Sus scrofa: one gene and its partner. The protein of the gene in region 1 interacts with the protein of each later gene in a biochemical or structural test. Links are inferred from orthologs where the notes say so. Each region holds a gene or a part of one and is shown on either strand. Other genes may lie near its edges.

What was found.
Region 2: the proteins of HIP1R (region 1) and CLTB form a complex in vitro, tested with the Homo sapiens proteins (2 studies listed by BioGRID). The link is inferred for Sus scrofa from reciprocal best matches to the Homo sapiens genes HIP1R and CLTB.

The regions. Positions count from the first base shown.
Region 1 is NC_010456.5:30,003,153-30,007,805, forward strand, and holds part of HIP1R (huntingtin-interacting protein 1-related protein), read right to left. Parts: intron 4,152-4,653; coding exon 4,071-4,151; intron 3,741-4,070; coding exon 3,664-3,740; intron 3,410-3,663; coding exon 3,348-3,409; intron 1,572-3,347; coding exon 1,431-1,571; intron 715-1,430; coding exon 657-714; intron 537-656; coding exon 461-536; intron 261-460; coding exon 120-260; intron 11-119; coding exon 1-10. UniProt on the Homo sapiens protein: Component of clathrin-coated pits and vesicles, that may link the endocytic machinery to the actin cytoskeleton. Binds 3-phosphoinositides (via ENTH domain).
Region 2 is NC_010444.4:81,477,517-81,482,169, forward strand, and holds part of CLTB (clathrin light chain B), read left to right. Parts: intron 1-1,085; coding exon 1,086-1,203; intron 1,204-1,405; coding exon 1,406-1,517; intron 1,518-3,307; coding exon 3,308-3,361; intron 3,362-4,653. UniProt on the Homo sapiens protein: Clathrin is the major protein of the polyhedral coat of coated pits and vesicles.

The DNA.
Region 1 (4,653 bases):
CAGCCACCACCTGCCACGGCAAAGCACAATGATCCCTGCCCCCACTCCCCCAGGCCTGGGGAGGGGAAGGTTGAAGCCAGGTCACCCCTAATGCTCCATGCGAGAAGAGGACAGCTCACCGCTGGCTCCCCCGCGGGGGGCCCTGTGCTGATCTCAATGAGGTTCTCGGGTTCCTCATCCTCGGGGGCTTCCTCGGGGATCACCACCACGGGCTTGATGTGCTCGGCCAGCGCCGAAGCCCGCAGGAAATTGGGGGGTCCCTGCAGGGGTGGCAGGTGGAAACTGCTCAGCACTCTCCGCCCCCCGGCCAGGAAGCCCTCCCTCTGCCGAGCCCATAGCCTACATGGAGCCCCATGTGCGGCACCCCCACCAGGCACCGAGGTCCTCAAGCACACAGAGCCCAGAACCCACGGCAGGAAAAGGGCTGCAGCCTGGCGGCAGCCTCTAGAGGGCGCAGTACCTCGGGCAGCCGGGGGATCTGGATGAGCCGCTTGAAGTAGAGCATGTCAGAAGCTCTGCGGAAGAAGTTTCTGAGACTGCGGGGGAGAGATGCGGGCGGTCAGAGGAGCCAGGCCCCGGCCCGGCAGCCCCAGCCCATGTGGCCAGGAGCCACCGAATCTCTTCCCGGCCATCCTCAGCCCTGCCCAGGCTGCTACCTGTGAAACTGCTCGTGGAACCGGTCCCTGTGGCCTTGCAGGGTGTCTGCGGGGAGACCTGGGAGCAGAAAGGTGTAATGGGACTTCCTCTCTGCTCACTGCTCTCTGCCTAACACTTCAGATCCACTCCCTCCTCCACATTCTAGAAATCCGCAGAGATTAGTGAGATCACCTGCCGCCAAGCTGGGACACACCCCTCATGGGGAGGGCCAGCCAACACCCCCGTGAAGGGCTCAGCTCTGGACTGGATGAGGGAAGGCAGAGGGACAGAAGCTCCACCCCAGCCCTGCTGTGTTGTCACGCCGCTCTCTCTAGTTTGCCTGAGGTTGACGGTGGAGCGGCTCACAGACGCCCGGCCAGTGGCCCTTTCTGAACACTAAGGAGACGCCGCAGGCCGCCTCAGCAAGCGGGGTGAGGCCCACTGCCACCTCCAAGGCCAGATGCTTAAAGGAACCAAAACACATAAAACTAGCAGCAGCTCTTCTCACTAAATCTTTGTTTTGGAAAATAGCAATTTTTATTTTTTAAATTTTATTCTTTTTTTTAATGATTTTTTTTTCCATTACAGCTGGTTTAGGAAAATAGCAATTTTTAAAATAACAAGTATGTTATTTATGGTAATGGGTAATGAGATTATTGCTATGCTTAATTAATAAATATCTCAAAGTTGCTTGGTTTCCATTTCTGATAGTGTCTATCAACACAGTTCCTCTGGGCCTTGGGCTGACCCTCAGGGCCTGAGGCAAGCAGAATTGGGGGTTGGGGGGAACTCACAGGAGTGCAGCTTGAACATGAGCTTGACAGTGTAGTGGTAGAGATGGCTGCAGTCCTGGATGACCTGGATGAGGGGCGCCAGGCGGCATTGGCCCGAGGACATCTGGGACACAGCAATGGCCGTGTTGAGCTGCCGGAACACTGCAAAAGAGAGGGTCGGGAGGAGGACACTGAGCACAGGGAGCCGGGAGAAGCAGGCGCAGAGCCCACTCTGGTCACAGGCATAGTGATGCCACTTTGAGGACAGTGGCTGAGCATAAGCCCTGGCTGTCATCTCATGGCACTGTCACAGCAACTTCAGGAGGTAGGTTTGAAGATGGGGCAATCACCTGAGAAACCAGCTTTAGGGGTCCTGGATGGGCAGCGGGACTCTACTCCAGGCCCTGGGACAGTGACGTGCTCCTCAAGGCTGGAATGGACCCCCTGTGCTGAAACTGCCACAGACCGAGGCCCACTGGGCCCATGAACGAGAGTGACGACAAGGTGGGGGCAAATGAAACCCAGCTCAGCTTGGCCAGGGCTTCCCGAGCGCCTCCAGGTGATGGGCCCAGGATGTGGAGGGACAGGGTGACTTTGACTGTCCTGCACCCATGGGCCTCCAGCTCCCCCTGAATCTTAGGGAAGGATGGAGACCTGGGCTTGGTCTGTTTCACAGCAGCGGTTCTCACTCAAGATGCAGTTCTGCAAACCCCAAGGGACTCCCAAACTTCACTTGCACCAGGGGTCAATCTCCCCTGCCCCCAAGAACCAGCCTTTCTTTCATCCAATGGACCAAATAGGAGAAGGGACAAATACACCGAATTCTTAATTATGTGCTACATCAAGTACATTTTCCTTGTAAAAAATGAAAATACACGCAAGGAGTTCCTGCTGTGGCACAGTGGGTTAAGAACGTGCAGCGGTTTGGATCACTGTGGTGGTGTGGGTTTGATCCCCAGCTGGCACTGTGGGTTAAGGATCCCCATTGCTGCACCTGTAGTATAGGTCACAGCTGCAGCTTGGAGTCAATTCCTGGCCCAGGAACTCCATATGCTGTGGGTATGGCCATAAAATAATTTAAAAAAATTAAATACCCATGAAATACTACGTAGAGTTTTAAATACATCATAGTCACTTATCATCTGAGGGGTGTTCAGGACACTTCCCGTTCGGGGCTGTTACAAACCCCCTCACACTATTTCTCAGGGATATGGTGGCACGTGGGTGGAGGTGCCCACCTCCCCTCGAGGGGACCACTGGGCGAGGCACATCTCTACAAGACGGCTGCCCCCCAGACTCAGCCAGCCTCAGAGTGCGGAACCTGGCAGGCCAGGAGGCTGCCAGACCCACCTCTTTCTAACTCTGATTTCCCTTAAAAAGGCATTTGCTTTTCACTCTCCTATGGAGAGCACTGAGTCACCCACAAGTTGTTCTGCCCAAACAATGACCTCTGCAGCCCAGGGAGGGTGAGCCCCCTGAGGTTTCCCGACCGAGGACTGGGAACAGGCCTTTTACAGCAGGGAATGGGCGAGACGGCCCAAGGCAGCTGTCTCAGGGCGGGCTCTGCAGACCTGAGTCCAGAGGGAGATGGATCAGGAACCTGAAGAGGCTCCTGGCAGCGCCCCCTCCCACCCCCACTCTCCCTGCCTTGAGGCCAATGGAGTGGGTTTCCTTTAGCCGAGATCTTGCCCTGGACAGACTGTGGTGGGGGGCCTGGCGTCCTGCAGGGGCAGTAGAGGCCTCTCCTTCTGGTGCTTTGGGGGCACCTCCCCTGGAGGCCCTGTGACCTGCTTCTGGCGGGGGCATGGACCCCTGGGGGCAGGTGCGGTCATCAGTGGTAAGTCAGGCTGGCCCCCTGGAGGTGGCAGGCCTCTCTCCCTCTGGTCCCAACCCCAGCCCCGGAGACTGACCCCCAGACCCTGGATCTGGCCAGCTCACCTGATTCGGAGAGCTTCAGCTCACAATCCATGTAATCAAACATCTCCACGGTGAGCTGAAAGCTACAGACAGAGGGAGGGAGGAAGGAGGAGGGAGGGCTGAGAGGCAGGGTCTGTGAGGAGGGAACACAGTTCAAAACACGCCTCTGCACAGACAGCAGTCCAACAGCCCCAGCGCCCAGTCCCAAGTATGCCCCATCCTTCAGCTTTAGCCTCATGTCCCAGGCACAGGACCTCAGCCCCGGACAGAACACAGCCCCCGTGGGGACCCGGGTGAGGAACACTGCAGGGACAGACAGGGAAACCGAGGCACTCACATGTTGTTGACGTCAGTGCCAGCCGCCTTCTCCAGCACCTCGTCTGTCACCTCCAGGCCCGCAGGAAACTGGGGGTGCTGCAGAGAGGACACCACCACTCAACCGCAGCCCCATTTGGCTCTGGCCCAGACCCACTTCTAGTTTTTGAGGGAGGGGGAGGGGTGGGAGAAGCCCCCCAGCCTGTGGAGCCGCCATCTGCCCAGATGACCCGGGGAGAGGGGACAAGGACGTCCAGTCAGGGCGCAGAGTGGGACTGAGACCACCACCTATGTCTAGAAAAGCCTCAGGGCCTTAGGACAGTCCCCTGGGGTCAGGCCAGGACAGACCCTACCCTCCACGATGTCCCAGGACATCACAGAGGGAAGAGCCCAGGGTCCCCCCAGGCCCACGACTCCTGAGGAAACTACCTTGAGGTGGAAGGAGATCTTGGTCAGCAAGAGTTTGGTGTACACATTCACCAGCTGTCCATAGCGGTCATGCAGATGCCCCTGTGGAGAAAGGGCCCAGGGGAAAGATGCGTCTGGAACATGTCCAGGAATTCCTCAGGGCAAACAAGGAAGCTGAGGCCAGAAGACACAAGGTGACCAGGGAGGTGTCATTCCTTCACCCACCCACGCTGTCACTTATTCATTCAACAAACATTGCTGAACCCTGTAGAGGCGGCCAAACTTCTTTCCCAAGAGCCTCTGCCAACTCCCTCTCTGCCTATTGCTCTCTCTTCTTCTTCTTGCCAAAGAAACTCTTGTGACAAGAGAGCTCTTTGTTCAGGGCAAGAGGCCAGCTCAGAGTTGGGATACTTTATTAAAATGCTGGTGGCAGCCAGGGAGGCACATTCTAACAGGCGCGTGTACACATCCTCCCTGATGCTTCCTCAGTCACTTCCAAACACCATATCCCTCGTGGCCACACCAGCTGAGCCTGCGTCTGCAAATGGCACCAGGGACACTGGTTTTCTTACTTTGAGGAGCTTTCTCTCTGTAGGCCAGACAG
Region 2 (4,653 bases), on another chromosome or scaffold:
AAGGAGCCAAGCTGCACCCCCCTGCCAGAGGCCTGCCCTTCCCTCTCCCCCAAGACAGCTGGAGATGTAGCCCTGAAGTTCCATCTGCGTGCTCACAGCTCATAGCAATGCCAGATCCTTAGTCCACAGAGCAAGACCAGGGATCGAACCTGCATCCTCATGGAGATAACCCTGCATCCTTAACCGGATGAGCCACAATGAGAACTCCAGAGTCTGAGTTTCTCATCACTGCATAACTTTAGCTGTGGCCGTCCACTGCAGGGCTGCTTGTTTACTCAGTAAGCAGTTACTGAAGGGAGTTCCTGTTGTGGCTCAGCAGTAATGAACCCGACTAGAATCCATGAGGATTCAGATTCGATCCCTGGCCTCGCTCAGTGGGTTGGGGACCCGGTGTTGCCATGAGTTGTGGTATAGGTCACAGACGTGGCTTGGATCCTGTGTTGCTGTGGCTGTGGTTGCCAGCTACAGCTCCTATTCAATCCGTAGCCTGGGAACTTCCATATGCCACGAGTGTGGCTCTAAAAAAACAAAAACAAAAACCAATTATTGAATACCTGCTATGTGCTAGGCACTGTGCTGGGTGCTGGGGACAGACAGTGAACAGAACAGGCAAGATATGCTGACACAAGGGTGATGTTCTGATAGAGGAGACAGGCAGTGGACAAGTAAGCATTATGATAAAGTGAGGCCATTTGGGACTGTGGGTTATTGGGCAAATAAAACTAACAGAGAGGGACTTTAATGATAGAAACACAGGGGACTCCCCATGTGACAAGAAGCGTTTGAAATTCTTTACACTTTTGAACTCATTTTATCCTCATCTTAACCCAATGGGGTGAGCACTGTTTTGTAGCCCATTTTATGAGGAGGAAAATGAAGCACAGAGAGGTTGAGTGACTTGCTCAGGGCCACACAGGGGGAAGAGTTGCTGGCGGAGGACACAGCAAGTGCAGAGGCAGGGTACAGTCGCAGGAGACAGTGGGTGCGAGGTGGTTTGAGATGTGAGGGATGTCCTGGTACTTGGGTGCCACAGACAGCTGGGCAGGTGGACAGGCTGGGTACACCGCCCTGTGTTTGCATCCTAGGATGCTAACGGTCCAGCTGATGGCTACGCTGCCATTGCCCAGGCGGACAGACTGACTCAGGAACCCGAGAGCATCCGCAAGTGGAGAGAGGAGCAGCGGAAACGGCTGCAAGAGCTGGGTGAGGGCCGGGCTGGGGCTGGGAGCTGGGCTGGGGTGCCCCTGACACTGGGTTGGCTGTTTGGGACATGGTTGGGGTGGGGACTTGGTTGAGGATGGGCCCTGGGACTCCCGCCAGGGATGGAGGGGAGAAGCTGCCAGGACAGCTGTGTCCTCATGTCCCTGCTGGAAAACTGCTGCTCATTCACCTGTTGGGGTCACAGATGCTGCCTCCAAAGTGACGGAACAAGAGTGGCGGGAGAAGGCCAAGAAGGACTTGGAGGAATGGAACCAGCGCCAGAGTGAGCAAGTTGAGAAGAACAAGATCAATAACCGGTGAGAGGATGTGAGGGGGCTCTGGGGACTGTGAGAGGGCTGGGGGGACAGCGAGAGAAACCATGGGGACATGAGAGGACCTATGAGGACACAAGGGGGCTGAGGGGGACAGTGAGAGGACCTATGGGGACATGAGGGGGCTGTGGGGACAGGGAGAGGACCTATGGTGTGGGGACTACTGAGGATGGTGATTTGGCAGCGAGAGCTGGGAGGAAGGAGAAGCTGAACCCCCCAGAGCTATTCCCTCAGCCACGCACGGAGGTCAGAGCCCTGAATCTTACCTCCTGATCATGACAGAGAAGATCGAGTTTGTCAGTCAGCAGATGAGGTCCCAGGACCCACTGGAACATGAGCCAAGCTGCCCTGGAGCCCAGTGGCAACAGCTTGACCTGGGCTACCTGTGGCCACGGTCAGCATCACAGGAACACAAGCCTGGCTGGGAGGGAAGAGCCAAGCTGTGTGCAGGATTTTATTGCTTATAGAAATGACAATGCTTTGACCCAGAGCAGCTAAGGAATAAAAGGCAGAATTAGTGGCCTATATAACTGGAAAGGCCAGGGGTGGGGATGCAGGCATGGTGGGCTCACGGGCGGCAACAAAGTCCATCAGCGCTTACTCTTACTGTCTCTCAGCTCCGCTTTCCTCTGCGTTGCTCTCCCTCTCAGGCACGCACACCTGGGATGGGGGCAAAGCTGGCCACCAGCAGCTCCAGGCTTCTGCTCTATTTCCTTGGCAACTTCAGCAAAAATAAACCTCTTGCTCCCATAGCTCCTGCCGAAGTCCTTGGGCTGACCGTCATTGGTCTGGTATGGGTCACGTGCCCATCCCGGCCCCAGTGACGGTCTCGGGGGAGGGACTCTCCTCTGATGGACGCAGCCTGGGCAATAGTCCCATTCCTTGGGTGGTGCTTGGGGTCCCATCCCACCCAAACCACAGGGACTGAGTGGGGGCAGCTGATGCTTCAACAGACAATTGGAATGCCCTTCCTGGAAGAAGAGGGACAGATGATGGGCAGGAAAGACAGCAGATGCCCACCCAGGGACACCTTTGCAGAAATGGATTCAGACTGGACACTGCCCAGCAGCCCTTGCCTTTGTGTTCTTCAAGGTACCAGGCCCACCAGGAAGGGAAAGGCTGGCTCTGGGAAGCCACCAACTTCTGTTCAAGGAGCTGCTGTGTATGAGGCTCTGGGCTGGGCAGTGGGGAGACAGAGATGAAAAGGAACCAGTCTGTGTCCTCACATAGCTCAGGGGAGAGAAACACACATGTAGAGCTGAACTCAGTAGTAGAGCCCTCTGCAGGAGGGCTATGGAAGCAAGGTTGGGGGGACTTCTTTCTCTGGAGACCTGGGCTTTGAAGGATGCTTAGGAGTTCACCAGGAAAAAGAAGATGGGGGTTGGGAAGGGTATTCTAGACCAGAGAACAGCATGGTATGAAAGAAAGGGACATTGTGCTCGGGCACCAGGGAGTGGGGGGAGAGAGGGCGGGAATGAGGGCTCACACATGCAGGGCCGCGAATGCCAGGGTTGGGCAGACACAGTTGGGGAGCCACTGACGGTTTATAAACAGGAGGAATAACATGATCAGGGCTGAGTTTTAGAAAAGACCACCCACTCGGGTGGGTGGAGAATCCCTGTTCTCTGGGCTGTGGGTAGTTGCCAAGCCTTCTAGAACTGAGCTTCCTAACTCGTCTCCAATGGAGGTACTAACGCTGTCTCTCTTTCTCTTTAACCCTCTGCCTGTCTGTCTTGCCATCCCGTCTTCCCCCCACCTAACCCCTTTCCCCTAAGGATCGCTGACAAAGCATTCTACCAGCAGCCAGATGCTGATATCATCGGCTACGTGTACGTGTCTCCTCTGCTCCTCTGCAAGGGCCCCTGTGTGTGGCCGGAGCAGTTTCTTGAGTCTCCCGCTTGTGGGGTATAAATGAGTGTGGCTGGGCCTGGGGCAATGATCAGAGCAGGCGGTGAGCCCGCAAGGCGGGTACAGGCACCAATCTTCACCTCCATCCCTCCAGCAAATGTTTATTGAGCCTCTACTCTGCCTGGAGACAGCTTTGCTAAGTCCAGGCAGAAGAAAGAAAAGATATCCAGGTGAGAGAGGCGAAGGGCGAAGCAGGCCACCTCCCTTCCTCTGAGATGCCTCTCGGGTGGGAGGTGGGTGAGTCTTCCACTGAACAAGACAAACATTGAGGGAGCTCCCGTTGTGGCTCAGCAGGTTATGAACCCGACTAGTATCCACGAGGATGCTGGTTTGATCCATAGTCTCGCTCGCCAGTGGGTTAAGAATCTGGCATTGCTGTGGCTGTGGTGTAGGCTGGCAGCTGCAGCTCCATTTTGACCCCTAGCCTGGGAACCTTCATATGCCACTGTTGTAGAAAAAGCAAGCAAGCAAGCAAGCAAACATTGAGTGCAGGTGCCAGAGGTATAAAGAATGCACAGCCATCCCCTCCTCCTGCCCCCAAGTGTACTGCTTAGAGCTTCAGCCTGAATTTGACCTTAAGCTCCTCCCCAGACCACCATGGGCCCCTCTCATGTGTTCCTGGTTTGGGGGTCTAATCATTTCTGTAACTAATCCAGACTTGAGATGTAGAGACTTCCTCTCATGCCACCCCAGCTGGTTGATAGTGACAGCCTGGAGGGTGCATTGGGGGAAAAGAATGCAGTGATGAACGTGTGATGACTGCCACGTGCGTATGTGCCAAATATTTGCTGTTCCTCATCCTGGGTACGCCCTTGGCAGCCTCTGACGCCGTCTGGGCTAACCCTTCCCTCACCGAACATGGGACACATCAGAGTAACAGCCTTCCGCCCCTCTTCCACCCCTCCCTTCCGTCCACTCTCCCATCTGTCTAGGCTTACCCTCTGCCAGTCTCTGGTCAAACAGGAATAAGACACACAAGGGTCTGTTCCCTCAAGTTGGGGAGGACCTGTTGTGATAAGAGCCACATGCAAGGACATGCCAGGCTCTGGGAGCCACCCTCTGCTGGGGGAGCCAGGGCAGGCTTCAGAGATGTGGAAACTTCAGCTGTCCTAAAAGTGTGGGAAGGAGTGTGCTGGGTTGGCAGGGTGAGGAGGGCATCCTAGGTGGGAAAACCTGCTGGGGCCAAGGCAAGGAGATGGGAAATGTCTGGCTG